Linked DNA regions of Oreochromis niloticus. The protein of the gene in region 2 binds, or shares a complex with, the protein of the main gene of each other region. Links are inferred from orthologs where the notes say so. Each region holds a gene or a part of one and is shown on either strand. Other genes may lie near its edges.

What was found.
Region 1: timm29 (region 2) and timm22 share a complex: the UniProt entries of both Homo sapiens proteins name them as parts of the TIM22 complex. The link is inferred for Oreochromis niloticus from reciprocal best matches to the Homo sapiens genes TIMM29 and TIMM22.
Region 3: the proteins of timm29 (region 2) and timm10 are in contact, whole or in part, in a cryo-EM structure (PDB 7CGP), measured with the Homo sapiens proteins. The link is inferred for Oreochromis niloticus from reciprocal best matches to the Homo sapiens genes TIMM29 and TIMM10. Residues at the interface, in NP_612367.1 of Homo sapiens: Asp181, Asp183, Ile184, Asp186, Phe189, Leu192, Leu196, Arg197, Val199, Gln203, Leu204, Ser206, Asn209, Glu210, Leu212, Phe213, Asp214; in NP_036588.1 of Homo sapiens: His30, Arg31, Lys32, Cys33, Pro35, Pro36, Leu43, Ser44, Lys45, Gly46, Glu47, Ser48, Val49, Arg53.

Annotation. Positions count from the first base shown.
Region 1 is NC_031975.2:6,099,357-6,109,414, forward strand, and holds timm22 (mitochondrial import inner membrane translocase subunit Tim22), read right to left. Parts: upstream 4,657-10,058; 5' UTR 4,647-4,656; coding exon 4,334-4,646; intron 3,940-4,333; coding exon 3,743-3,939; intron 3,227-3,742; coding exon 3,154-3,226; intron 3,069-3,153; coding exon 2,992-3,068; 3' UTR 2,411-2,991; downstream 1-2,410. UniProt on the Homo sapiens protein: Essential core component of the TIM22 complex, a complex that mediates the import and insertion of multi-pass transmembrane proteins into the mitochondrial inner membrane. In the TIM22 complex, it constitutes the voltage-activated and signal-gated channel.
Region 2 is NC_031969.2:3,553,436-3,562,982, reverse strand, and holds timm29 (mitochondrial import inner membrane translocase subunit Tim29), read right to left. Parts: upstream 4,310-9,547; 5' UTR 4,199-4,309; coding exon 4,093-4,198; intron 3,652-4,092; coding exon 3,053-3,651; 3' UTR 2,694-3,052; downstream 1-2,693. Other genes in the region: protein YIPF2, read left to right, coding at 5,795-5,825, 9,191-9,345, 9,428-9,508. UniProt on the Homo sapiens protein: Component of the TIM22 complex, a complex that mediates the import and insertion of multi-pass transmembrane proteins into the mitochondrial inner membrane.
Region 3 is NC_031971.2:36,377,469-36,388,535, forward strand, and holds timm10 (mitochondrial import inner membrane translocase subunit Tim10), read right to left. Parts: upstream 4,378-11,067; 5' UTR 4,216-4,377; coding exon 4,145-4,215; intron 1,385-4,144; coding exon 1,189-1,384; 3' UTR 279-1,188; downstream 1-278. Other genes in the region: uncharacterized protein LOC102082595, read right to left, coding at 5,764-6,068, 6,152-6,298, 7,407-9,185, 10,443-10,908.

The DNA.
Region 1 (10,058 bases), on a different chromosome or scaffold from region 2:
GGTCATAACACTGATTAACAGAAATTTCCTTTCTATTACCTAATGATTTGCAGATGTGTAAAAAGATGAAAGGTGGCATGGGGAGTGGGATCAACAGGAAGTCAGAATATCTGATCAAAATAAATACAAAACCTAAAACTGTTAGACAAAAAAACTGCATTGCACCACATAAACATCAGTTTATGAGTTTAAACATCATTTTGTATTGAATAACAGTTTTACCATCTAATGAAACACTATGTAAACTCTTTCCTTAAGAAAGTCATAATCCTAGCTTTTTTATTTAGGTAAAGGCTTTAGCAACAAAACATACTTAAAGTACCTAAATTAAAACCTAAAAGTGCTATCATTATGCAGAATGCTCATACTCAGACTCACGATTATATTATGTAATTACAATTGTTGATTTATTAATGTGTACTGTTTCACTTTGATTAGTTATTTCACTTTAATGTTGCAGGACTGTCTGTGATTTGAATTATATGTTGCTGAGTAGCTTTATATACAGTGAAACAGCATCATATGCAACTGTTATTAGTAAGTATGTTTAATATGTGAAAAATAATAAGTAATTCACATCTTAACATAAATGGGATGGAGCCAAAGTATATCCATACAACACTGAAGTAGAAGCAAAAGGTAGCATAACATAGAAACAAATAAATAAAGTAAATCTGTACTTGAGTAGATGTACTATGTTAAATTTCAGCTATGTTCCTATCCATAGATAGAACTTCTGGGCATGGCCCAGCACCTCACACAGAAAGTGTTTTGTTTTTCATCTGCATGGCAGGAAGTAGTAATGTCAGATAATCAATTAATGTTGGAGAAAGCATTCAATAACCAGCATATATCTGTAACAGTATTCTCAGATAAATTACCATCACTTTGTTTAGTACCTTCTAACGATTTGGTAACCTATCTTTTAACCACTTCTGCAAACAAACTGTGCCTGACTTTATCATAATACATTACATGGTGACAATCGAACAAAGCTTATAATTACTAAACGGGGTAGCAGTGGGAATGTGAGCATGATTTTGGAAGAAATCATAGAATTCTAGGAAAAAAGGGTGGGAAAATGTTTAGCAGCTGTTTCTGTCTCTCTTTCCAGTGGTGTCCATTTGTTGGTGACAAATGTTGCTGGATAGTGATGTGGACATAAGCACACCTAACTGAGTGTGTGAGGTAACATTTCCAGCAGTGCTTGCAGTTGTAAAAATACTATATGCACTGCTAGATGAATATTATGACTGTTACTGTTTTAGGAGTAATAGATTATTGTTTTTACTCCTGTTTTTTGTTTCCAGATTAAAACTATCCATTCATCCATCCATTCGCTTCCACTTATCTTTTTCAGGGTCGCGGGGGCGCTGGAGCCTATCCCAGCTGTCATAGGGCGAGAGGCGGGGTACACCTTGGACAGGTCGCCAGTCTGTCGCAGGGCCAACACACAGGGACAGACAACCATTCACACTCACATTCACTCGCACATTCACACCTAGTGACAATTTCGATTATCCAATTAACCTATCCCCACAAGCTGCATGTCTTTGGACGGTGGGAGGAAGCCGGAGTACCCGGAGGGAACCCACGCAAACACGGGGAGAACATGCAAACTCCACACAGAAAGACCCCGGCCTGATGCTATATAAAATGAATAAAATGTTTGACTTTGATTTGTGGGGAATATATTGTAACGTTGAGGCTAAATATCTACGTTAACCTCCATCCCTCTTAAAAAAAAAATCAAAATGCTCTCATTTTGTATGTCTATGCTTTAAGATAGTATTGTATTCCTAAAAACAGGAGTATAAGATTTTAATTGATTAAAATAGTGCTTCATTTTGTCATCTCCATGATTCTGCCATCACTGAAATTTATTCTGTTTATACAATGTCTTTAAATCATTCACAATATCAATAGTGTCTCCCATCCAGAGCAACATTTGGAAATTTGACATTTGACACATGCTGCTCCCTCTGGTGGTTACTGCACTACATTCAGCCACAGACCTTTACTGAGTTTACAGAAAATGCTGCACTGACGAAGAACTGTGATCTATATCCTACTATGTAAACAAAGTAACACAATGCCCTTTCAAATAAATATGCTAACAGTAGACTAAGCTTTAATTTTTCTTCCATTAACTTAACTATAAATTAGCATAAATAAATATCAGAGGCCTAATTAACCTGTTAAGACGCAAAGGGCTTTCTGAGCTTCCTGCTTGAAAATGACATGCCCCCCAAAAATTGAGTATTTCTCTGCAATTACAAACTCTGTATAAACAATCGTGATATCAAAATAAAGCTAACACTTGTGAGATTTCATCAGAGGTGTAAATATTACACCAGATGTTACTGTGTGAAAGTTACTGAGGCTGGAGTACAGAAAAAGTAAGTACATCTTTTCCCTCGCCAAAATTATGTATTTATTTTTGTGGAATATGTGGAAGAACCTTACACAGCCACAACAGCCTGGGACCTAGTAGTAAGTAGTAAATCCACAATTTAAAAAAAATGCTTTTATTATAAATAATCCTGGTGTGGATTAGTTACTTACTTAGTTACTTACACAACAAACCAATGTTTTACAGAAGAGTGCTCATCTGAGTTTTTACAGACCCAGAGTCAAGTTCACACAAGTTTAGCATTCATCACCTGATCAGTACGCCACTGAAGCAGACCCACTCTGCTCTGTTTTTGAAGATTCACCATAAGAAACTGGCATTCCTTGCTCCAACTGTCCACAATATGAAAGTCACAGGAAAAACAGACATGTCTTTTGTTTGTTTGTTTGTTTTCTTTAGCCCACTGTGGTGCCACTTAACATCCCTGTGTTTGAACAGTACACTTCAATTCTGCTTTAACAGCAATCCTTGATGTGCAGGGAAACATCAGGGTTAGCAAGCTCACAGTGCGAATCTTCTTTCTCTGGTACACATGTGTAATATTTATGTTTTTGTCCATCGAGCCACTCCATAGAACTTCACCGCAAGTAATATTCAATTGCAGCAGAGAATGCAGCAAAGCCTCCACATCCCAGAACACCAGCCTTCAGACCAGCTGCAAAACAGAAAAATAAACACGTGGACAAAATGCATAAATTTGTTGTAATGCAAACTGTTAGTTAATAAAGTAAGTTACATACCACGAAAGCCAATAGCTCCTCCAGTCACACAACCACTGTACACAGCATTCTTCCAGTCAGATTTGCCTCTGTGCTGTAAATGAAAAACAGGTACAAAAAAGACAGTTATTACCACAGTGTACTGCAGGGATAGAATAAAAGCAAGAAATGCAAAGCAAATATAATACTGGCATCTACATTTTAGAAAGAGGAGTGACTAATAAGAGATAGCTGGCATCTACCTTTCCTGTACTATTTGCACATTTACAAACTTAGCGTAAGTTGCAACTACTTTGCTGAAATTGATTTGCTGTCCACATATATAATATGTCTTCAGTGATTCTGACAGTGCTCTAGTAATCTGACCACATATTGAGAATTTTTCCTCTTTGAAGCCATGTTATGGATTCACATTACATTTCAAACCCTTGTTGACAAACTGTTATCATTATTTCATTCATTCCTTATTATTCTAAAGAGACTGGTGGATACATTGAAAATTAATCGCCTTTGCTCATTTTTGCCTTTTGTTCTAAGCTCCAGTGTGAGGTTATATATCCACTATGAGTCTGTCAGACCCCACAGGAGGATGTAAGATGCTGTGACCTACTGATTCTATGATGCACTCTGTACAGGAGAACATGGCGCCCACAATGGCAAAGTTCTTGGCATAGGACATCCCCCTCTGGCCCATGTCTTTTAGAACCTCTCGTGCTGTTGGAGTTCTCAAAGGGTCTTTGGGGTCGATGCCAACATTAGTATCAATTCCAGCTGTGAAAACACCGAAAGCTCCTCCAAGGACGAACCCTGTGGTGAGCAAAAACATCATCAGACTTTTAAAATTGTAATATATACAGATCTTTTCTGCTATTGAGCTGATTGGCATTTGGGCAACATTGTGGCTTTATTATAAACTGATTATTTGATACCTGTTTATTCAAAAAGCTCTAAAATGTTGCTTTCACGTTTCTTATGTCTGAACACAAATACATAATCTTAAGACAAGACAATATCGATGACTGATTGGTTTGATCAGGTGACTGATTAATTTGCTATTTATTGGTATAATAGCATTACAGCTCCCATAGCCTAGTATATCTGAGGTGACCTAGCACACGAAATATTCTGCACGAGCAGCCAAACACGCACAAAAACACCAAACCCTTGTGATGTTTGTTACACTCTCAATGTCTCCGTTTACCTCCCACACAGGCCAGCAAAGACTTGAAGGCGCAGCTCTCCATTCCCCTCTCGATCATCTTCTGCTCGTCGCTTTTCGGAGGCACGGGCAGCCCCCCCATCACGGCGGGGTTCAGGTCCTTCACGGGCCTCTTGTCACCGATAAGATGCTCCAGAATCATACTGTACTGAAGAGTCGGGCTGTCCACGCTCGGGCCGACCGAAGCTGGACCTTGTGGGTTGGAAGCAGCAGCATTTGCAGCTCTCGTGGAGGCCGCCATGTTTCTCAATGACAGAGCTTCAAGTAAATGTCGTCGAAAGACGAGCGCGCGCATATTCGTCCCATTTGTCTGCTGATAGAAATAACGGTAATTAAAGTGTTTAGCTTCACAAAAACACGAACAAACCACGATAGGTTAAATAATAATAGTGTGTATTCTCATTTATTTTTTATAAAAATGGTTTTATTCTCTCACTAAAAGATTACTTTGGTTAATTTTAGCACATTCGACACAAAGTCAACCTGTACTTAAAGTGTGTTTGAGGAGTTTATGCTTTGCGTGCGTAACCCTTAGTCTACCTCAAGGGCGTCGATTTGGCATGGACGGAGGGGACATGTCCCCACCAATAATTTGATCGCTTCTTCTAAAAACCCCCCAAACCCGATAGAAAGAAAAAAAAAGATTTGTCAGCGTCTCAGTCACCCAGCGGTGCAGAAAGAGTTAAATTACGTTCTCTACTGGAGTCCGACCTCATGTGACAAATATGGCCAATGTGATTGGCTGAGCCTTTCAGGGAGCTCTGTTTAGTTTCAGCAGCGGCAAGCCTGCGCTGAGAGGAGGACGGTAGCAAAGAGGAAGAACGTGCATATAAGAAAGTATTTTTCAAAGAAACCTCTAAGTCACTTAAAGCCAGGCTCACTCATAAAATGTGTCCATCATAATAACGTTACAAGCTATGCTAGGCTTTGGCCCACATCAGTCTAAAATTGTATGCAACCATGAATTACGTGTTTTGGAAACTAACTGCACAACTGGCAGCACTATTAGTTATCTCAGTCTCAGAGCAACATTTCTAATTTTGATTGAAACTGTCAGAGAAAACGGCAGCCTCGAGCAAGCCAGGATATTAGTTTACAGAGGCTGTTAGAATTATATGTCTCTACGTTAAAATGTTGGTGACACAATAATTTCATCCTAGTGGCACTGACATATTCATAGGGTTAATTTTTGAGACAAAATATCATGAGGTAGTCATGATTTTGCAAATATTCCACCTTGTAGTGCAGTTTGCACTACAATTGTTAGGCTGCTGATGTAAATTGATTGATTAGTGTAGATTTGACAAAGAATCTGAATTGATATGTCTCACTTTTTATATGGCACGAATCAATGTGTTATTTTATCAAGAGGCAATATGTCCTAGTGCAGTCAGAGGGGAAAAGCCAGGGCCAAAGGTGAGGCACATCAAGCACAGAATAATAATTTTGTGGTCATCTTAGATGAGTTTTATCGACAAAAACCACCAGTTCATTTAGTGTTCCCTTAGTGCTAATGTATAAGAGAAGTTGGTGTACTATAACTCAAGTAATCGTGTTAAGATAAGATAAGATTACCTTTATTATTCCTACACGTGGTATATTTGTTTTGTCACAGCAGAAAGTGGGCAGTGCAAAGTTATATAGCAAAAATTAGAATACAATAAGTATAATATACTGTACACAACTGTACAGAATAGAATAAAATAGAATAAAATATACATTAGGATAAAAATAGAATACAAATGTTATATACAACTGAGTAAAAATACAACTTACAACGTCTTATTGCACATGTGTGTGTTTGATCAGCTGCAAAAGTCTTTGTTGTGGAGTCTGACAGCAGTGGGGAGGAAAGACCTGCGAAATCTCTCCATCCCACATTTAAGTCCTTAAAGTTATATTCTTTTATTGTCTTGACTGTATTTGAAGCTATTTTTATTTTTGTATGATACCTGATTGATGTGGAATAAAATCAAAGTAAACTAAAGTCTAAAATACTTAGTCATTTGTTTAGTAGTAATTTAACATTATATAATTCACATATAAAACTATGAATTGTAATTTTAAATGGTTTAATAGCATGTAGAATAGCATATGTAGGCAAGTATATTTCTCCTTTTTTTTTATCAAGAAACAAAGACGAAAAGGAAAAAAAAAGAAACAGGGCGGGGTTCGGTGGTTGAAACACCCGTCCCCACCAATGCCAAAACCAAATCTACGCCCTTGGTCTACCTACATTGTTTCCACTGGATTATTGTATAAAATAATAATTAGATAACATAACAGAATTTCGCAAGATTATACTAGATCTTATTGATTACTTTACATTTTATTCGGTTTTATTATATTAATGTCTTCTAAATTACTTTTATTTTTGTTTATTTTATCATTAATATATTTTTTTATTATTGATGTCTGTTTTCTTTATTCAATACTCCTGTCTTTATTGTATTATTTTTTTATTTATTACAGTTTATCTGTTTCGCCTGTCACTCATCTGTGAAGCACTTTGAAGCACACTAAACTTCAAACAAAGGTGCAGTACAAATTAAATTGACTAAATAAGTTTACACCTGAGGCGAAAACGCTGTTCCTTACATGCTGTCTTATCATTTTTCTGTCCTGTTAAAAAAAAAAAGACCACATTTCCCAGAAACCCCTTAAACACTGCGCCAAAGCATATGCGCCAGACTCGCTTCACGCGCTCCACCTATCGGCTCGAGCTCAGACTGCCGGTGGTGAGACCTGCGCGAGGCGTCAGCATCCTGTCAACACAGCAGCTCCACCGCAGTACGGAACAGGTGAGATTAATTAACACTTGTTTATTTCTCATAGCCTGTGGCCTTTCTGCTTTTTTCGTCCGTTGTTTGGGGTGAAATTTGTAAACTTCACTGTAAAGGCTCTACTGTTTCTCGGTGTCTAAATTAAAGAATGGGCCACAGAGAGTCGCTCGGGTTTCGCCGAGTTACACCAACGTAGAAGTGGCTGACGGTAACATGCTCATTGCCAGCATAGTCACTGTACACGTCTATGCTCCTTTAACGTAACGACTTAGTCATTGTGAGAGCAGACGCGTTTTTCCTCAAACGATAATAACGGCTGTCATAAAATTATAGCCCGAGCCAAGGACGTGTTGTATTCACGCTAATTGAGCGTGGCACTGTATGACTGCAGTGATGGCCAACAGTAAGTGGACTAACACCACTAACGCTGCATTTCATGTCCCATTTTCCGCAGCCGCAAATGTCCATCCTGAATTTTTCAGTTTACTGGCTAAGGTTGCACCATCGCGAGTCCAACAGGATTCTGCTTGAGCAGTATTTATGCCTTCTTTATAAACATTCAAATAAAAGGTATTAACGCGGTGATAGTGTTGATGCCTGATAATGTAACACTTTGTAAGTTTCCTCCTTAAGGAAGAACGGGTCAACTTCTTTAAACTGGTCTGAATATTACGCTTAAAATCTTTTCTTTGGTCTGTATTTATTTTTTTGGTGTACAATGTGTCTGATATAAATATCTAGCAGTGGAATAAGCTTATCCTCTTGTAAAGTGGAAAGTAACCCCAGGTTAGTCTTAAAACCCCTGCTAAGAGAGGTCAGTCAGGTCCTGGTTTCCTGTTAGATTTTAGTTTTGTTTTTTAGTGTTTGTCTAACACTGCTCCCTGACAGAAACCTGAAAAATGCAGAGATAAAGTTACTAATGTTGCTCAGGCTTTAAGTAAATTTTGATGCTAATGGCAAATTGCCTTCAAAACTGCCTCTGTGTGCTGCAAGCTGTTTTTCTACACGTCATCAGCCAGCCAGTTGTTCCCAATTAGAGGAGTTCTGTGTGAAGCTGTCAAACATGTCTTTGTGTTTTCTTGCAGGTACTTGTAAAACGTTTGTTGGTTTTGACTTTAGTAGATCCTTAAATGTTTCATTATGACAAATTATCCTGACTAAGCTTCTATGTGTAATTTTTCTCTCACCAGGTAACCTTTAAATGTAGACTTAAAAGATGGGTTCCAGAAACCCGCCGAGTATCTAACATAATTATGCCTGAATAATAAACTTCAGCAAAAGAGAACATTTCAGTAATGAAAAGAGAGGAAAAATTAAGAAGCCAAATACATATTTTAATTGCACGGCTCACTTTATAGTCCTGTGACAAGTGAACAAATGACAGTTTTCTCTTTTGAGTATGCAAACAGAAAAGCCAGTTCAAACATAAGAACTGCACCAGCCCTGGTGAGGTTTGTTTTTAGGTAATTGAAGGCTTTGCTTCTCATGGTTAACCATCCAAGAAGGGGAAATACTTCATTGGTCTGTGTTCAGGACACAAAGAAACTCTATTGGATGTCGATCATATGTCAGCAGCATGATGGGCAGTCAGACAGTAGCGCATTCTAAAGTGGATACATCAGGTTTTTAATTTCTGAACATTAACTGATGAAATTGGTTCCTGCCTTTTCTCAATCTGCGATACACACAGATCAGCCACAGCATTAAAACTGCAGGTGAAGTGGGTGTAATCCATCCCTGGGTAAACTCTGGTCCTGGGATTCACCTGGATATTACGCTCACTCATACACCCACTTCAACATGATAACAGATCAAGCACACGCCCTCCTCGTGGTTAACATTCCCTGTAACAGTCAATAACTTGATCAGGAATTAGGCATGAGGGCCATAACAAGGAGTCTGAAGCAGTGACCCTATCTCCACTATCCACACTTTGCAATCCCATTGATCATCTGTGGGATGTGTTGGAAGAAGTCCAGTCCACAGAAGTGCCACCCGGCAACTCACAGGACACAGAGGATCTGCTGCCAACATCCCAGTGCCAAACACCACAGAGGTCATGTACATATTGTAATGGGTCAGAGCTTGTGTGCTCTCACAATGAGGGCACATATTAGGCTGGGGGTTTTAATGTTGTCTGATCAGTGCATGCAAGATAGTTTCAAGCCAGAAAAAAGACAGAATAATAGGGTTGCCATCTTTGCAGTAGAGGTACTTGGAACTCTTTAGAGCAGAGGTCCCGAATCCCAGTCCACGAGGGCCGGTGTCCCTGCAGGTTTTAGATGTGTCCTTGATCCATCACAGCTGATTTAAATGGATAAATTACCTTCTCAACGGCCGTTTATCAATGCCCAAGTACGCGAGTACGTACTCGCGTTCTTGGTGAGTACGTACTCGCCGAGAACGCACGGGAGTACGTACCCGCCGAGAACGCGAGCACGGACTCGCGATATGTATAATTGGAACACCTGCGTACGTGATGATGTCACAGGTCCGGAGTTTTTACTGCCGTCCCCTCCTAATTTAACTGTGAGTAACATGTTATGAAGCTTAGCTGTAATCACAGCCAAACCGGTTTACTCAGGAACAAATAAAACACTGAAATAAACCAAACATTAACATTTAGAAGTGATCTAAGTGACTTATATATCATTTTTAACCTCAGTAGTGAAACCTCTATTAATAAAAATTGTACATACGTGTACATACCGTAATAAAAACAAGCAGGTGAGATGTTAGAACGCTTTTATTTCTATTCTAGTGGACACTCAATACTATAGACAGCTGCTGGGGTTTCTTTGACCTGAGTAGTGAGAAGTCCACGAGCGGGGGGGTGGGGTTGAAAACGATGTGCCGGGAGTCCGCTGTTGAGTTTTGGACGAAATGCATTCTGGGATATATAGCTGTCCCAAGTCCACACCAAT
Region 2 (9,547 bases):
ACATCTAAGAAAACTACAGTTTCTTAGGAGCTTATCCTCAGTCACTCACTTAGTTGGCCAGTCCGTCACTTTGATTCAAATTTAAATAGCTCAACAATTACTAGATGGACTAACATTTACTTTTAGTTATTAGTTCTACGGACCACCTTCCCCATGCCATGGTGGAGGGCATTAGCTAAATGTGGTGACATTTCAGCTGGTTTTAATGTGTTTGGGTTTTGTTTTTGACATGCTCATTACCAGTCTCCACAGAGAGGTGACCCCCAATGAGCGCTTTGACAACAGTGGGAAGGAAAAACTCCCTTTTAACAGGAAGAAATTTCAAGCAGAACCAGGCTCAGGGAGAGTCAGCCGTCTGTCGTGATCAGTGTGGGGGGAGGGGAGGAAGACAGGACAAAAAGCATGTTGTGGAAAAGAGCCAGAGATGAATAATAACTCATTAAATGATTAAATACAAAGTGGTGTATTTAATGTATGCTGTACTTCCATTAAACTATTGGTCAGACTAACTGTTTGTCCATTTAAAGTATTTATGCCAAGCTAACTTTAGCTGTTCAATAAAATATATTTTACAGTTCCACATAAATATATTATTGAAATGCTACATTTAAACTAGATGGTACCAGGCTCATAATTATTTTTGCACTAGAGCACCCTCTGGTGGCAAAATCCAAACATGAACACCAGTGTAGTCCTTAGAATACAAATTGAGCAGAAATCCAATAGCAACAACTTAGAAAACCTGCTGACCCGTGGCCTGTGACTCCCTTAGCATGACATCTGATAGCCCTTGCTACAGGGTCACAGTAGTGACATCATGGGTCACCTCACTGTGGTGCAGTCTCTTTCCTGTGGTTAGGTTATCAGTGTGAGGGGTCAGACTCATTATCCTTCTCAGGGGTGTCAACTGAACTGCTAAGACGTACTGTAATTGCATTTGCCATGTGACAGTGCAGGCAGCATTGCTGCACAGCAAACAACCTCATCAGCAACATAAATGTTATTGCATTATAAGGTGCAGGTTATGATGATAATGTGTGGTGTGCATAGGAATACAAAGTCCTGTTGTGTTAGATACATATCATTAAGACCTGTTTACATCCATATCACCAATGTGAGTTTGTTATGGGATTAATGCAGAGGGCTTCACATCGTCTGTTTAGAATTCCCCAGTAACTTAACAAATTTTTTGGATTGTGGGAAGAAGTCTGAGCAGCTAGAGAGAGTTCATAGAAACAACACAGAAGGCCCCCAGCTGGCTCTTGGATTTAAACCCAGGCCCTCTGTACTGTGCAGCAATAGTGCTGACCACAACACCACTACACCTATGTAGAGTCTAAAACACAGTAATTCTTTATTTACTTATGGTCCACAGTGTGAGCTGGAAAACTCTGTCAAATATCGCCAATTTTATTTTTACGTTGGTAGTTCAATCCCTAGGCTCTTCAGTCCACATGCTGAAAAAGCTTATCCCTTCTTCATTGAAGTGTAATTATTAGATTAAAAGCAAACTGATGTAGAAGTGCTTGAGATGAGTGAGATGTGTTATGGAAGAACTATCCCATTTCTATTCTATTTCTGAAAAAAAAGGCTTTCTTGAAAATACTTCAGAGCGGGCTTGAACCCTAATTCTCTTTCAAAGTTTTTCTTTGAACACTGGCTACTTTTAAAGTAGTCAGTTTAATCCAGCCCTATATCTGACCATTTTCAGATGAATGTTTTTTGTTTGGTAAACTACTCAGCACTGACTTGTAAATCATTCAAACATAAAAAAGGAACAAAAATCAAGAGGTGAGCTAGTATTGTGTTTACATATAAGGGACAACTTAGCAAATAACCAGTTTTAAATTGTAACTTTAGGCAGTTTTTTCAAACACATCATTAGTTCCAGCTTCTTTAGTTGATGAAAAAAGCCAGAGAGGGCATTTTGACAGGCATAGAGTTGTATTTTTTGCACCAAAAAAGGTGATTCCCAAAGAGCCAAAGGACCTGAGATACACAATTTACTCTTCACCAAGATCTCAACAGAAACGGTCTCACTGGAACAGAAGCTGTGAAGAAGTGCAAACAGTGAGACACTATGGACCTAACTGTAGGTTTCACAGACAGCACCAAGACTTCAGATTCACTTGAGTTTTGCATTTTTTTTTCCTTTTGTTTTAATCATTTTTCTCTCTACATTGCTTGGTTATGTGTGGATAACCAGGTAGCTGAGAAGAAATACTAGTCATTTTTTTATATTAATAGTGTGACTAATAATCGTTTATAAGCACATACTTAATTTTATCTCCGTGTATTTTCATCTGTTTTGTTCCAGAGCGTACAGCCAATTGTACACATGCAAATACTATAAATACAGTTCATTGTATTTCCAAATTATATGGCTCTGTACCTCCTCACTACATTGCAGTTTTACCTTCACTTTTTTTGCTACAAAATACTTTTCAGACTTGAGGATTTTGCAATAAAAGTTTTGTTTAGTGGGAATCTATTATCACCTCTAGTCATTAGCAGTTATGGTTACGTTTCATAGCTACTATTCTCAAGTTTTACTGCAACTAGATGTGAGGAAAGGTTGTATTTGCAGCAGTGCAGTTCTTTTCCCTTATCTTTGTTATACTTAAATACAACAATAGGATTTGTGCTTTCAAAAACTCTACAGTTGCACACAAAATCCACAACAGTCATGTCAGTCTGATTAGTGATGACAGGTCTTTAATAATCACCCAGAGTTCATATCAGTGTGTCACATCCAGATCAAATGCAAATCACATGTTACACCTTAACATCTGTAAATAATTGACAGATTCGTTGTCACATGGTTCACAGTATAAATGATATACAACATTTTCTGTAAGAAAACAAAAACATGTCAGAAAGAATTCAAGTGTTTCTTTTTACTTTGTTTCCTCTGTCTCGGTGGCAGAATCATCATTTGGTCAGCGACTGATATGTGTGTGTGTGTGTGTGTGTGTGTGTACACAGTCAGGCTTCTGTCCTGCTGCGTGAAGTGCGAGGTTGCTCCTCTTCACTCTGCTTTCCGTCTACCACTTTAGTTTTTGTCTCCCTTGTCCTCCACGCTCACTGGTAACCACGACTCTCTGTGCAACTTCTCATTCCTTTCCACCTCCTCAACGCTGGGTGGTGACGTTACCTGCATGTGCGCTGGCAAATGCTTGAATTCATCCTCGTTCACGTCATAGTCCTTCATCTTTGAGTCCAGGATCCACCAGTTGCCAGCAAAGCCAATGTCCAACACCCGCTGAGGGATCTCCCTCCAGGGTACTGACAAGTTAGAGCACTGGGCTTCGTACAGCATGGCGTCTGGGTCGTAGTCAGCGTAGTACACCACAGACAGAAGACCCAGGCTGGCATGGCGGAGGCGGCCCTCGTTACGGAGCTTCACCAGACTCTGTACATGGACATCAGAGATGCCGCTGCGGATCCAAGGGGACAGCAGTCCCAGCTGGTTGGAACGTTTCAGCAGGGCGTCGTCGAAGGACAAGCGGTCAGGTTTGGTGTAGAAGCAGGCCCAGGCACCGCCCAACAGCGTCACATACACTGATGTTCGGAGTGGCCTCTCCCAGGCGCCAACTACCGCCTCTCTGCACGCTTCTTTGTAGTCAGAGAGCAGGCTGCGACACCACACACCTGTAGGGAGCAGAGGAGGAAAACCTAAGCCTGGATGTAAACCACCTCTCTTCATGCCTCCTTTTCTACATTCACACCCTTTACCATAAAAAAAAAAAAAAAAAAAAAAACACTGGCCAGCTGCAGAAGGTGAGAGGAGTCAGGTGATCTAATCTCCATCTATTTATGATGTTATCACATCAACAACCCAATTCAGCGGCATATAGTTGTTAGGAGGATTAAAAAACTCTATACTGTATAACCGTTTTTGTCAAGCAACCAACATGCACAAATACTAGCAGAATAATGCGTTTAAAATGGTCATTTAAGCAATTAAAATAACTGGGACTGTTTCTGTTATATCACATATGCCCATATAAGAATAAGCTGTTTACCACCGAGCTGGTCGTTAACCCCCTTGCTATCCAGCTAACATGGCTAACCCGTGCCTCGGTTTCTCACCTACTTTGCTGTTTTTCAGCCGCTCCCAGCGGCTCGCTGTGCCCGGAGGCGCCGCTGCTTCCGCCATAGAGCTGAACATCATCCTCGCTACACGAGACGAGGCCATTTTAACGACTTTTATGCACTAAAGACGCTAACCTTCATGCAGAATTGACATTTTAACTATCAAGGGGGACCTCACATGAAGTCAAAATGGCAGCTACTTCTTTTTTTTGGTTGAAAGCTAACAAAAAGGTTTAATTACCGCCATCTACTGGGTTGGAGTGGTGGTGCGAGACTCCAGAAAGAATTAGCCTACAAATACACATCCTGCTACCATAAATTACATTCCATCCCTGCTCACAATTTCTGTCTCTCTTTAAAAACTGAAAAATGCTGCCGTCCCACCATTAATAACTCTTTCCGATAACTGCCAATATCTTCTACACCCCCTTGTTTCTGTGTTTTAGTTTGATAATTTCTCTAGCTTTCCTATTTAACAGCACTGTTCCCCTGTTCCCCTTTCCTTTTGGCACTGAGCAAATTATATTTCCCTGATAGTTGCATATGCAGATGCAGTTAATCCTGTTTAACTATTCTCAACCTAGAAAATATTATTTTTCCCTTTTCTTATTGCCTTGCTTTGGTACATTTTCCCTGTATAGTCTATGAATGTCTTTAGTTTGCCCCTGTGGCCCATCTTTGCTGCCATTTATTTCTTATTTTAAATACTTTTAATGCTTTTACTACTACTTCTTTATATTCCAGCTGGTCCCTTTATGGGTCATCGGAATAGATCATCTGCTTCCATCACCCCCAATCCCTTGCATGCTCTTCTGTCTCACCAACCCTCTTTATGTCCTCCGTCACTACACTTACACCTTCCTTTTGCGTGCAGCTCCACCACCAGCATCCTTTGTCCGATATATTATCCACCCTATCAAACTCTTCTCAACCTTGCTTCTCTTACTTCGTCTCCAAACTGCTCAAAAATCTTACCATGTTCACTTCTGACCACCGACCCGACAACTCCACCAGACATGATAGCGGGTCTCACTCCCTTGCGTGAACCCTTCCTGTCGTTTTTGTTGCTATCCTCCTGTCACAAATCACCCCTGACACTCATCTTCATCCGCTCCACCGTGCCAGCACTCTCTTGTGTTTTTTGTAACGTTAGAACCTTTCAAATAAAGTTATTTTGAAGAGCGCTTCCACGTGACAGCTTTGTTTACGTGGTGACGTGTACCGGAAGCTGTGTTAAATTGACTCCAGTATCAGCAGGACCTGTAAGGCTGTAAAAGACAAGTGTTAGTATTGTAATGTTATTAATGTCTAGCATTTTATTAAGTCCGCTGTTGTCATATATTAAAGTTAGCTTTATTTACAATTTAAATATTAGCTAGTCGTAGCATTAGCTGTCTCTGCTGAGTGGTTGATATTACGCCATTCAGTATCATCATTATCAGCAGCAAGATCCTGCTGAGCAGCGAGGACAGACTGTCAAGACATATTTCACCTCTCTGGTTATTACATTTTGGTACGTTTCACCTTTTCTTGTCGTTTTTTAAAGCGTTGAATTTAATATTTTTATATTATACATTAACTGTAAACTTCATGTGGTTCCCTTGTCGGTGAACTAACAGATGTTCAACATAGCATTTCTTTACTAACGTTCATTTTTCTCTCAGCTCTTGCATGAAGTTACAGGTTGTCCATTGAAGGCATGGCTAGTCTAAACAACCTACAGTTTCAAGGTAAATATGACAGAATCTTTAAAGGAGATATCGGTTGTAAATTTCTGCTTGTTTTGTTCTGCCTGGGTTTCTTTGTTTCACGTGTTAGTTCCAAATAAGGTGGGTGTTTGGCAGAGCTGCACTTGTGTTTTATGCAGAAACCAAGCTGAAACTAAGTGTCCACATGAATCAAAAAACTGGACTCTCCCCTCACCTAGGGGCAGGGGCGGGTCTAGAAGGGTGGCATGGGGTGGCATGTGCCAACCTAAAATGATCTCTTGCCACCCTAGTTTTGCATATGACAGTGTTGTTTATTAAAATAAAATAGCATTAACACTTTGAGCGTAGTTACAGTTAGCAGTGAATATAAATGCTAAAACTGAATATATTGCGTAGTGGTACCTCCCTCCACTATTAACAAATGGTTCAGCCCATAGCGCGGACCGGCTTTTTTCTTGTTTTCAGCCAATGCTTATGATTGTGCCAGACAAGGCAAGGGGAAAAAAATAAAATGAAACAATTTAGGGTGAAATACAAATGTAAAATCAGAGGGTTAATCCAACAAATCATGAAAAATTAGGTTTAAATTTTTGTTCATGACAGTGCAGATTCCTGACATTTTGTGTAATTTAAGCATGTAACGATTTGATTTTTTTCTAACAAAAAACAGTGTGAAACTTACGTTAGACTTATGTTTGTAAATGAACCGCCCCATGTTGTGTAGCTTTCTGTATTTTATTCTTACTGGGCTACATTATTTATTTATTATACAGGCTATACAGTACATAAAATCAAAACTCACATGTTTTTTGTAACTAAATTGTTTAATTATGTGGGCTACAGACAATAATTAAGTTATAGACTATTTTTTATATGAAAATCATGTATACACACTGCATTTTAATCATTTTAACCATATGTAACCACCTGCATATGTGTTTGAAAACAAAGGCTTCGATTTTGCAACCCCATTTGATTCCTTTGCCCCCCTCATGCCACCCTAAGAACATTTCTCTAGATCCGCCCCTGCCTAGGGGTTTTAATTGGCTGTAAAAGAGTTTATACTGCAGTGACCATGCAGAGCACATAGTACAGTAGTCTGAATCACGAAATCAGCGTGAAAACATTGTTGAAAATAAATTATTATTGATTGAAACCATCTACTAAAGGACAAACAGCGACATCTGCTTGCCATACCCTACTATTGCAGTCGTATGTAAAGACGCTCTTCCTGCTTCCTTGTAATACATTTTCTTTTACTTTCATGCAACATGTAACATTGCACCTTGTACTTGGACCCTCTGTCTGTATGTGTAGGTTACTCAGAGGATTATGGGTCAGATTTGCCAAAAAATGATGTTTGTTTTCATTTGCATAATATGCATGGATGCAGTTGAACGTCCTGCTGATTTATGACACACAGTGAGTTCCAGTGTATACTGTGTCAAATGCAATGTTCCCTCTAATTTTTCATGTGTCTGAGCGAACACACAAACTCCTTGAGCGGTCCCTTGGACCACTGTGAGCGACATCAGACGTGTGCACTGTGGTCACGCCAGCATCGAATCCATCCAAGTTACATGGTTTATTAAAATAATCAAATTAAAGCATTTACATTTATGTTAGACTAATTAACTGCTTTAGCCCACTTACAATGAAAAGGAAAAAAAAATCTAGTCATTGACCTGTGCAGTATGTTAACACTATTGGAATTAAAAATAACTTGAACTTTTTAACTTTTTTTATATATATATATATATATATATATATATACATAAAGCTCTGACTTGTATTATGAGTATGAGTATGTGGTCGGGTAGCTGCAAAGTTTTTTGCAGCTACTATTTTTTTTTTTTTTTTTAAATGCAGCCAATGCGCTTTTAAACAAACATTTCAAACTATTTACAGAACAATCAGGTGTTCTGCATTTGATGCCACACAAATTATTTGTGCCACTCCAAAAAATAATTTCTGTCCACTATGAGATAAAGGAGAACACCAGCCTGATACCTGCAGGCCTGACAACAGGAGCTGTATCACTCCTGTAACACCTGTAACATTCAGCAGCCGCCTCATTGTTCTGACACACACAACAAAACTATTGACTACACTACACACTAACTACACAAGATTTGCGCTAAACGTCTCAAATCTCTCACATCTCAGAACACCGCCGTCACTCCTAAAACTTCCCCCCGTTTCTTAACAACTAGATGCCACGTTGCCATATCATTTTTTGATTGGTCGACACGGTACTTTTTTCGACCAATAGGAAAGGGTGGGGGGTTTTTTGGTTTTGGTTTTGCTCACAGGTGGAGAGTGCTTTCGAGGGTTTTCCTTATAAAACGCAGTTTTTACCGTTTCTTCCCGCAGTAAATATAAACAACGATAGTATTCAGGAAGAAAACCAAACATTGCAAATATTTTTATCATAACTCTGGTTTTACGTGGCCTATCAACACAATTTAAAAACTGGTATAAAGTCCACACTTTTTCCGTCAATTGTTCCGTCTGTCCTGCTCACATCTCCAATGGTTGTACATGTTGTCATTAACGTGGCTTCACTCCACATCAGCCACGCCGCTTTGCTAGCTAAAACACCGGTGTCGGCACATAAGGACGCTGTCATAGCCTGTCAACGACGTTGATTCGCTGCGTATATACGAATGTGAATCGCATCATTGGCTGGACTATAGGATAAGGTGGCATCGTTCTAATCCCATACAGGAGCAGCCAGTCACTGACTAACACTGCAAAACAGAATTGTTAAAGTATTAATTTTAATTTCAATTCAGGTTAGATTTTTTATTTTGTGCGCAACGCAGATTTTCTGTGCGCAGAGACCGTGCCAGCAGTGCGCAATTGCGTACGTGCGCAGCTTACAGGGAACATTGGTCAAATGCTAAGTCTTTTCTCTGACCTACTAAACGGCATGCTAGCATGGCTATTGAAACACCTTCATGGTGTGTCGGTAACTTCTCTTCCTGCTTGTTTTCTAATCTTATTCAATAAAATATGTGTTTTAAAACCTTTAACAGAAAGTCTGTCTCTCTGTGAGACAGGCTGATACCAACACTGTGTAATCTAAAGCAGCACAACACTGCTGTTGAATAAAGTGAAATAAGGTATGGACGCTTCTTGCAGGAAGTTGTTTTATTTGTCAAATAATATCATTAAAACAGGACCAGTCTGGTTCAGTGACATCAAGAGCGGGAAACTATAGACAGAAACTGAGATCGCTTTTTCAGTACCTGTTTGTAAATATGCTTTTTAATCCTTTAAAGTTTGACATTTTAACATGAAGTCTATGGGAATTTAATCCCTCTGGGAGTGGTGATCAGAAGAACTGAGCTTACCGACTGCCTTTTGCCCATGTGCATCCATAGAGTTTGAAGAAGCAGCAGAGCTGCTATCGGCAGACCCTGGAGCCTCCACACTCAGTATGTCAGGCTCAAACACCCCCAGCACAACAGCATCAGCAGGAGAAGATGTAAAGCTAGACCTATCTGAGGACGAGGAGGGTCAGCAAGAGAGTTCAGAGGTAAAAACGTTGTGTGGACTACGAATAAAGGTTGAGTTTCTACTTTGAGTGCATATTGGCTGATAGACGTCTGTGCTTCCAGCTGTTAGGAGGGCAGAAACCAAGTGGTGGCTTCTGGACCTTTGAGTACTATCAGTCTTTCTTCAATGTGGACACAATGCAGGTATACCTGACATTTACCTGACACTTTGTCTACACGTAA
Region 3 (11,067 bases), on a different chromosome or scaffold from region 2:
ACTGCAATAAACTATAGATCTTCGATGGTGGTGTACAGCAGCAAAATTACAAAAATTATATATCCAAAAGATTTGGGAACCTTTTTTTTTTCAAAATGTAGAAAAACATCGTGTTGTATCTGTAATAATCACACAAGCTTTCATTGTATATCATCTTATAGTTACTGTATATTCATTCACACACACTCTGTTGTCCACATACTGCGTGAGAGTGAAGTCGAACCATGCCACAAACCTCGTGTGAGGGCCAGAATAAATACTTCCAACACTCATGAAGCTAGGCTACATGATGACAGCGCTTTATTAGAGTTAACAGCACACTGTGCAGCTTCTTTGCGGTGCAGATGAAAAGCTGTGTCACTGTGGTTTAAACATGAAGAAAAAGAGACACACACACTAAAACATGGTCCACTGACACACAGCACAACACAGTCTACACAAGCATGACAAAATGAGCAAAATTCAGGCATTGTTATTTTTTTATCTGAGCTGTTAATGACAAAGAACCAACCAGGGTCAAAAGAGTAAACCATGAATAGTACAAAAAAGACATTTTGGCTCAGCCCATAATGAATTCTGTGCAAGCCCTGACCCATGATTCGCTGTTTCTGAGGTGTTGCACAGGACTGACATGTCTGCATGACAGACAACTGTAAATAAACTAGTTCCACGGGTTGAACTGCAGCTTTGCAAAGAGTCTATATTTACTTTCAGTGCCTTCCAAAACCAAACAAGAAAAATCTGACCCCAGTTCAAAGGGTGAATTGACATAAAGATTAAAGTTGAATGATTCTTTGCATTTGTCTGGACCTGTCACATGTAACCAGGTTTCTGGTTTCTAACTTTCTGATGTTAAGCGTCAGAGGCCTTTCTCCTTTTCAGTCAGATTTTCAGGTGACTTCCAGAGTCCAGGCTCAACATACAGAAAGTGGAAAAGATCCAGAGTGTCTGGTCCACTGTGAGCAGTTTCAACGTGTCCTTATGCTGCTGATCCACCAGGTTTCTGAGGAAGAGGCAGTTTCTCTCAGCGGACCCTCGACAGCATTAACTTCACACTTTATTTATTTTTTTTAATTTCCCACCCTTTAATTAAAATACAAGTCTCTCATTGTTTGAAGCCACACATGCTAACCCCATCCCCATGACCTTTTGATCCCACATCATTCTCCACTTTTTCTTCATCAGCATCTATCCGCTCCCCACAGCCGCCTTCCTCATCATTTCCTCGTCCTGGACGGAGAGCTCCGTCAGCTTGCGTCCTAGCCGCTCGTGAAGGTCCAGATATTTGGCCACGCAGCGGTCCAGGCAGACTGACTCACCCTTGGTCAGCTCTGCCTCCTTATAATGTGGCGGTACGCACTTCCTGTGGCAGGCATTAGTCATTCTGAGAGGAAAGGAAGGAAACAGTCAAGATTCTTCAGTATTAAGAGTGATGATACAGACATTTTTAAAACATAACAAACTTGTTGCTAGATGATGTATTCATGCATAAGCACCTTATTGTGGGGTCCCATTATGACTTGCTTACAACAGTCACTTAGTAAAACAGAACAGCGCCATCTGCTGGAGTTGTTTTTGTGAACCTAAAGTTGGCTCTGAATTTAAAGACTCTCCTTTTAAAACTCATATTTTCACATTACCTGATATAACAGTTATTTCTTTTCTTAAAGATGTTAAATTAACCAACTTTTAGGTCAAGAAAAGGTGCATTTAAGAAGAGCATTTAGAATTTCTGCAAATAAAATGTATTCTGGTTCATGTCACAGCAGAAATGTGCTTCCCAGTTTTGACACAGATCCTCCATCAGAGCAGGGAGGGACACAGATTCAGTTTAATTATATACTTCAAACCAGAACTAGCAAAAAGTTAAATGGCAACTAATTACTTCCTTTGTCCTCAAAGTCTTCACAGGGATAAGCCCCAAGGACAGAATTTCATACATCCTTGCCCAACAAACACCACATGACCACCGACGGACATTAAACCCAGTTCCTCTTCACTGCAGGAGATTCACAAAGAGACCAAACTCAAAAAACATTTCACATGAAAGTCATCAACCTCTCATTTCATGGTGCTGAATGAGTCTATCCAAAAGCACTTCATCGAGCCAAACGTCTTTCAATACAACACCATGCTCATCAGAAGAAGCCTTAAGGTCCTTCTGCAGGTCACCATCACCGTTTGCCTTAGGACACACAGGGGTGGTGACCTGATAGGACCTTACTGCTAATTCTGATAAATTACATTTCAGTGGATTATTTCTTTAACCCGACTAAAATTATTGGTTAGGTTCTTCACATCCTGCCCCAGAATTCAAAAAACTGCAACAAGGCTGACGATAAGCCACGAACACCTCTAACTGCCCGAAAGACCCAGTTACTGTCACTGTTGTGGTGAACTACAAGAAACAGTTAAACTGTTAAAAACATTATTTTACACAACATACTTGTAAAAGTATTGCCAGCATTGGGATACCAAAAAAAAAAACCCAAATCTGAAACATTATCAACTTACTGACATGTCAAAATGTTTCCTGTGAAAAGATACTAAACATAACAAACAAACATAACATGCCTCGCCCACCAGAGCCAACTAAACAGAACGGCCCATCTGACAATGTCCAACAACTGTGTGACGCCATCACGTCAAGACAGACCAAAATCTCTGAGGAATGTTTCCACCAATTTTTTTATATCTATGCTAAAGGCAAAAGGGGAATTATCACGTATGAGCAAGCAATAATCAGGTGGCAAGTAAGACATCTTTAATGGCTCTAAGATGTTGCCAGGTATCATATGAATGTTCAGAAAATTTTAACTAGAATTTGATAGAATTATTGCTCACTTCCATCCACAAAATGTAAACAAAAAATAGTATTTGGTTTATGGAGTGATGTCAAAAACTGGGTGCCATCAAATTACTGCAGAAGAAAATCCCAGCAAAATGACAGAGAGCCAAGAGCCAATCAAACCTCAGTCAAAAAAGTAAAGCAAGCGAACTGCTTGTTTGTTGCTCTGTGTTGAACAAACCAATAACTCATAGCTCACGTATATTTATTCATCTTTCTCAAGCCAAACACACTTGGAAAAAAATATACAAAAACTATTTTCTTTGGCAACTGACTGAATCTGACTCGGGCTCGGTGGGCTTTAACTGCAAGACTTTATTAAAAGCACATGAATGTATAATTTGTGCAAGGTCGTTAAAGGATAAATATTAACCAGGCTAGTTTTTTCTTCATTCAGAGACGCAGGTCTGTGCTGTAAAGGTTTCTTCCAAGTATAAAAATACTTGTGATCAAAATCACTTAACTGTTTTTTTGGGGGTATTTTAAAGTGAGGTTTAATTTAATAAAAGCTTAAATTAATTCTTTTGTTTTTTGTCAGGTTTTTTTTGTAAGCCAAAAAGAACATTAAAATCCACACACCTGTCATCAGGTAACACAGCCTATTTGCTTTAACTATATGTGGACGTGATAAAGAGAAACCCTTTGTGAGCGCTGCATTTTAGGTCCACATTTACAACACATGTATTTCATCACTGACCTGTGCACTGGCGCATAGCAAATCATTATCAATGCTTCTCTTGCAAATAGAAAATAACTTGGGCTTTTCAACAAAGACAACAAAGACAATGACCGGGGGGCAGCTATAGGCATATAAATGAATGCACTCTTACTCTTACACCAGTGACGGCATTTAAGTAGATTACTGTGTTATGACACGAGGACACATCTTTATATTATGAGTAACAGCCGTACTGTGCCTATACTGTAATTTGTGCTATGTGAAGAAAATTCAGTGAGTTAAGCACTTAACTCAGGTCTTTAATTTTTAGTCAGTATAGCTCTTTTTAAAATACACTGGATTTAACCCTTGCCACCCTTTAGTAGAAGCCTCCCCTTGCCTTAAACATGCCGGCTGGTGGGCCTTTATAATAATGAGCTTTTTAGCAGGACACTGACTTTATCAGGTGTTGCTCGCATTAACGATGAGCTCTACAGGCTCAGCTTCACTAAACAGTAATTATCTTTGCACATTATTCTGGCACACTGTAAATAAATGTAAGTTTGACACATAAAAGCCGCCACACTTCACAGCAGACTGCTGTGGCTAGCTGAGAGGTTAGCTTGTTTGGGCTTTACCGGTTGTACATGTCAGCCATCATCTCCACCTCCAGCTCCGCCGCCAGCTGCTGCGCCTTCACAGGATCCATGGCTCCGCTTCAGTTCTGCTCACACCGGGTCTCGATCCACAAACACGCCGTCCCGCTGAGCCTCTCCTCCGGACAGCAAGCAAGGAGCACTACCCGCTGCTTCAGTAACCTTCAAACCTGCACGAAAACACGTGTGTACCGTTTCCTCCACATACTTCCGGTGACAATAAAGTTGGATTCAAAAAGCAGAAAGCGGAGAGAGCAGGAAGTGCGCCCTCTACTGGTGTGTGTTTGAATGTGTATTTCTCCAAAGTAAGATAAGAGCCTCACAGGGAGATGAAGGACAAAAAAAAAAACGCTCAAGTTCAAATCAGAATGAGGAAGTTGGTTTGTTCTGTATTTCTGAAACTTCTGTCTCCATTTATTTATTCATGCTATTTGTATTTTATCTATTAGTACATATTAACCAGCATCTGTGTGTGGACAGCAGAGAAAGAATTTCATCGTACAGAGAAATGCTTTTCTTTGTACACATGACAATAAACGTTTTGAATCTTCTGAGATGTTCCAATACAGAGAGAGATCAGAAAAAGATCAAATGTCCAGTGAGCACCAGTTCTCTGGGTAAAAATTAATTGTGGATGGCAGACGACAAAGGAAAATGGGCAGACTGCTGCAAGCTGATGAGAAGGCAACAGTAACTCAAATAACCACCGGATGCTTGGTTTTGGGAGTGGAAAAACTGCTTCCCAATTGTACGTCTCCATTTCTTCTGCAGTATTTGGATGGTTGGTCAAGAAGTTTGTGAAAACATAAAAGCAGAGATTGACCTTGCTTTGTGTGTCATGTCCATCCCTTTATGACCACAGTGTACCCATCTTCTGATGCCTGCTTCCAGCAAGACACTCAAAGGGCCTCCATAGATACCAGAGCTCAATCCAAAGTATTGCATTATAAATGTGTAGCTCATAAATCTGCAGCCGTGACATGCAATGCCGTCATGTCAATATGGACCAAAATGGAAAAGGAATATTTCCAGCACTTTGTTAAATCTATGCCAATTAGAGTTCTAGCAAGATGTAACTAATAATGTGGCCAGTGAGTGTATATTCTGTAGTGCCCTCTTGTGTTCAGCTATGGTGCTTTTTAAAGAAAGCAGGCTGTCACATGAAAACGTTTAATAAACCATAATTATATTATGTACTGATGTACATAAAACACTTTTACAAATATAGACTTAAAACAACAGATCTTTTCCACATTGGAAACATACAGAGGGACATCACTGAAGGCCACTCAAGTGCCTTTTCCTCTATTCATCTGACAATTTCGCTGAAAATGTAAAATGTATAAAATTGACAAAACAAACTTATTGTAAACTTTTTCTTTAGCATATTATTAATGGAAATTAAACATCTTTTTGAACCGCATACACAAGGAACTAAACGAAAACCCAAAGTGGTGCAAACATGAAGTGAAGAATGTAAAAATGAATCTTTATACGCAACTTCATGTGACATGTGAACATAAATACAACCAGAACAGAGACAGCATTAGAGTGAGAGCCGACCACTGGACGGGGTAAAAAATACACACACGTACATGACGTTACTCTGCTTCGTCTCCAGTCACGTCAATCTCATTCACATCATCTTCCTCATCTTCATTCGGAGTCATGTCTATGTTGTTGAGGAACCCCTCACACTCTCTGGTCTGAGGTGCTTTTTCTGGGGAGCAAACCAGGACATCCACCTCTTCTTCCTCCTCCTCTTTTCCCTTTTTGTCTGTACTGGTTATCTTCACGGTCAAGGGGTGCAACAAGTCCAAAGCTGTGTTTTCTTCAGGCAGGAGGGTGTCACTGTGAGATGAGCAGTCATCGTTGAGGAATGGAGACCCTGTTGTATCCGATTTCCCTGTGCCAAATAGAAGGAGACTGTGAGGGTAGCAGGGGCATGTGCATGCATGTTTGTGTGCAAGCACAAAGAGGCATACTCACACTTTCCGATGATAAATAACTGATCACCTGCCTCTACAGCCAGCAGTGAGCTTTTGACCAGCATCATCTCAGTCGAGTGGCCACTGATCTCACAGTCCATCCACCTAGACCAGGGGTGGGGAACTCCAGGCCTCGAGGGCCGATGTCCTGCAGGTTTTAGATGTGTCTTTTATCCATCACAGCTGATTTAAATGGCGAAATTACCTCCTCAACATCTCTTTACGTTCTCCAGAGACCTGGAAATGAACTAATCATTTGATTCAGGTGTGCTGACCCAGAGTGCTATCTAAAACCTGCAGGACACCGGCCCTTGAGGCCTGGAGTTGGACACCCCTGATCTATGGTGACTGCCACAAGAGCAACCTGGTCAGGCTGCCACCTAGTCTTGGTCCTCCACAGGAAGGACCAGGGTTAGGTGGTTAGTTTGAAAATAACAGTTAGTAGATGACAGAAACCTGCACAGCCAAATGGAAAGAAAGCTTTATGGCATGCTTTAACTGCTCGAGTGCCATCTCACTGTTGTGACAGATAACTGAGGACATTAAAAAAAAGAAAGAAAAAGAAGAAACTAGATAGCAAAAGCAAACATGGACACATGCCTACAGAGAGAATTTTAAAGTGTTTCCTACACAAAACACTGCATTCTCATTCCAAGGTAGATTTTTTTATATGTAGTAGAGCCACTGAGAAATGAAGGTGCAGTGCAACCAGACAGCAGGACAAACAGCACTTAAGTACATTTTGTTCATGCGCTGGATTGTGCAACAGCACGTTTTAAAAAATGGCCGTATTAAGGCTGATGTCTGAACAGCCACTGAAATTATGAGCAGACTTAAAAAGAAAAAAAATATTAAAAAGTAAAATTGTTCTACTGCAAGGTTTAAACTGTAATGACCTTCAGTTTTTTTAATTATTTTTTTCTCTTTCATATGTCTAAATCTGCATCTACTTTAAAAAAGGTTTTTGAAGTGAGACTGTGCAGCTTCCAGTTAGCCCACATGGGGGCAACACAAACACTGTGCCTTAGCTCCACCATGACAGTTTGTGGTCTGTGTTTTCTACAGTACACGTCTGCTGAGACAAATGGCCTGAAGCCACAGCACACTATGCCAACCCATCCTCGGAGGTGCCTATATGATTGGCATAGAGCAGAAAAATCAATACTACCAATGTGATCATTCATTCTGAATAACAACCTTCAAAGCAAAATCCAAGTAATTTACCATGGCAACAGAAACAGCAAAATTCAAAGTACCTTCATCAGGTCTTCCCAGTGGTCGCTCTCTCTCCGTTGTCACCTTGGCTTCATCTTCCTCCACAACGTCTAAGGACACCGGGTGGTCTTCATCACCATCCAAACTCCTCTTCTCGCTCATACGGCCGTTTGTCTCTGCAGACGGGCTCAAAAGAAGATTGTGATTTTTATCAACTGCGATGTTTGAACCTTTGTGATGTTCTTCAGAGTTTGTCCCGTCTTTAATGTCTGCTCCTTTCTTCAATATGCCATCTGTGCCTTTTACAGGTTCATGTGTTTCCTGGGTCTGTTTGGACTTCATCCTTCGTGCGTGTTGCCATTTAATAAGCTTCTGAATGTCCTTCAGAGTGACCATGTGCCGCTGATTCACTGTCCCAGGTTTTACGTCACAGGCATTCATTTCTTCAGCCTTTTCAGTGTGCTCGACACTCGCAGTCTTCTTCACTGGGCTGACCTCCACCTCGCTCTCATTCCTCCTCCGTTTTCTGCACGTCTTCTCCATTTTTTTCTCCTCCTGCTCTTTTGGCAAGTTCCTGTCAACCTGCGCATTGTCGCCATTTTCATTGTTTTCAACAATGGCAGGAACACTTTCTGAAGATTCCTCTACAGGTCTTATTTTTCGGGGTCTACCACGTTTCCTTTTCGCATGCAAGACGCCATCCTGATTCACAAGCCGAGCTCTGCTGACAACAGGCTTGAAAATGCAAGGCGTTTCAGGTGGGGTTGTGTTATTTGCTGCCTCTTGAGATTTTTTTATAAAGGCCCTGGTCCTGATCCGAGACGGCTTGGTGCCAAAGGGTTTTTCTCCCCCATTGTCAATGACGGGCGACATTTTACTGGGTTTCCCTGGAAGACCAGATGGTGCGTTTGAAGACCTGATAGTCTCTTCTCTTTCCTTCAATAGCACATTGTTACTCGACAAACTCACTGAACAATCCTTTGTTCCATCACTGACTTTTAAATCTTTGTACGCAGAACAAGAACCGGTGGAGTCTTGTTGATCATTTGTGCGCCTTCTCTTCCTCCCGTCTCCTGTAGTGTCATCATGTCTATATTTGAAACTCTCCTTCAGCCTCCTGGAGTACGATTTTACTTCTGCTGCTGATTTTTTTCCTCTCTCTTTCAAGCTATTCCCTTTGCAACCTTCTGCACTAGTTCCTCCATTTTTTAGATGTGAATCCTTCTCCTGCTGCTCTTGCTTTGACTGACAGCTGTGATCTGGATCTGGTGACGGAGATGTATTTTTATGACCCATGCAAATGATGCTGCTAAAGGGAAACTGCAGTAAACCAGCGTTGTCCGAGAGCCAGGGTCTCCTACGTAAGGATGGCTGCTGCTGGACACCCTGTTTGGGGTTTGCCGAGTTGTTGAGTAGAGGCTGACCTTTAGCTGCAGATGTGCTTGGCTCTAATGGGGAGAGACGCTGAGGAAGACGCAAGTCATCCATGCAAGGTGAGGAAAAAGTGGGTTCAGATTGTGTCCCATTTCCATTTGGCAGAGGTAAAAACTCGAGACTGTGTTGATCATCTTGTGAGGATGGTGGCTGAAATGCTGGGTAATGGAGTTTCTGGCCTCTGGTGAAGAAAGCTGAAGACAGGACTGAGCCTGTGGGTGTTTCCGGATACAGAGAATATTTCCTTTTGAATGGAGGTAAACCCTGGCAGCTCAATCCATCGATTTGCCATAAAGATCTGACAGCTGAGTTGCACTGGAGAGTCGGCGGCTGCTGCTGCTGGATTAACTTGGGCTGGTTTGGACCTGCAAAACAACAATGGATACCTAAAGAGCAAGTGGGAAGATGACTATCAGTTCATCCTGAATTACCAAAGAAGAACTGTATGTGAATGATAAGTCCTATATTTTTATAGACATTACCTGTGACAAACAAAAAATCTAAAGTACCAATTAATAAGCTCCTGAAAACTGAGAAGGGCAGCAGGATGGGTAGCAGCGAGAGCGCCTGAACTGAGACTTAAGTCGGGTACAACACAGTTTGCTTCTGTAGTAACATTTAATGTGCTTTTAAAAAGAAAAAGGTTCTACTGTGTTACTCTCTGAAAATACACATCTGCCTTTTTAAAATCGAAAAAAAGGACAGAAGTCTGGGCTAAAACAGTCGTCTACAAACTGCTCAACCTCAGCTGTCCCTCCTACTCACTTCCAGATAAAATCTGAGCATCTTCAACTGTGCCACCTCCACCTCCTGCATTTTTTTGTCAGAGCCCCCCATCTCCAAACCACAAACCTGCTCTACTCCCATTACCTCTACTCTTTGCAGATTCACTGTTACACCAGTCTCCCTCTCATTCATACACATGTATTCTTTTTTTGCTTCCACTGACTTTTTTATTTCTCTTCTGTCCAGGCTCTCTTCCACCTGCTCCCTACTCTCAGTTAATTCTTCAAATTCATTTTCTTTGCAGAAACACTAAAAAGTTTAATCCAAGGAACGAAGAACTGTTTGAGGTTTCAGACAAAACATGCAGCGTGGCTTCAGTTACTCATGATGGCCATTTCTCAAAGAAACAAGGTATAAAAAATAATAAAGACAAACTTTAAGGCTTTACATGTTGTTAAAATGTAACTAAACAAACACAAAAATCACCAATAAATGTTAAAAGCTGAACAGTAAACTTCAGTACACTCACAGTGAGGGGTGGTCAGGATTTTTGACTCCCTATTCTAAAATTAATCAATGTCTTGTCTCAAAATACTTAAAAACAAACAAACAAACAAAAAACAACCCCAATACTGGTAAGATGTAATACACTACTGCACTCAGAAGGTGGCAGTAATGGACCTAAAAACTGTTTGCTAGCCACAATTAAACAATAAAAATAGAAAAACAGGCCAGAAATGAGACCCGTGGAGCCTGTGGAGCAGTGAGGAGAGATGCTGAGGAGTCTTCATCAAAAGAAGAAAAATACAGAAAACAAAAAAACCTTACAGGTAAAGGCAGCATAGCACAGGTCCGCCACGACTATCCTCATAATGTGATATTAAAAATATATGTGTATTTACAAAGAAAGCTTCTACCTGTATCCACTGACGTCTGGTTGCTTTGTGACTCCAAATCCTGGAAGAAAGCACACTCTGCTGCACTGGTAACAGGATCCATCCGACTCTGGGCTGCGTCACCCTGTGAAACTGGGACTCGGCAAACATTGTGGCTCGACTCCAACTTCTTACAGTTACCCTCAAAGTTGGGCAGGATGTTCAGGCTCATCATGACGTCCTCTAACAGCTTCTCTATCTGCTCGTCACACTCGTCCACAGAGCCCTGCGGCTGAGGCGCCGGCGCTGATTCAACCTCACTGTTGGGGTTTGAGGTGAAGCAGCTGGTGGATAAAGACTGGGATTCAGAGGTGGTGTTGTGGTGTTGTTCTGGTTGTGTGGGAGAGCTGGTTACAGCAGGTGGAAGGTTCTGGATCTCTGGTTTCTGAACAGGGCATGGGTGGACAGGGGAGGGAGGAGGCTCGAGTTCCTCAGCATCTGTCTGTGGCTTTTTGAAAGATGAATAGGAAACCATTAAAACCATTACAAAATATCACCTTTCATTCAAACTTTAAAACAAAGGTGAATTCATCTGTCTGCAGCTAAACTATGGACTAACAAACTATTTTATTTAGGTGCTTCTCTGAAAATGAGTCCCCAACACTTT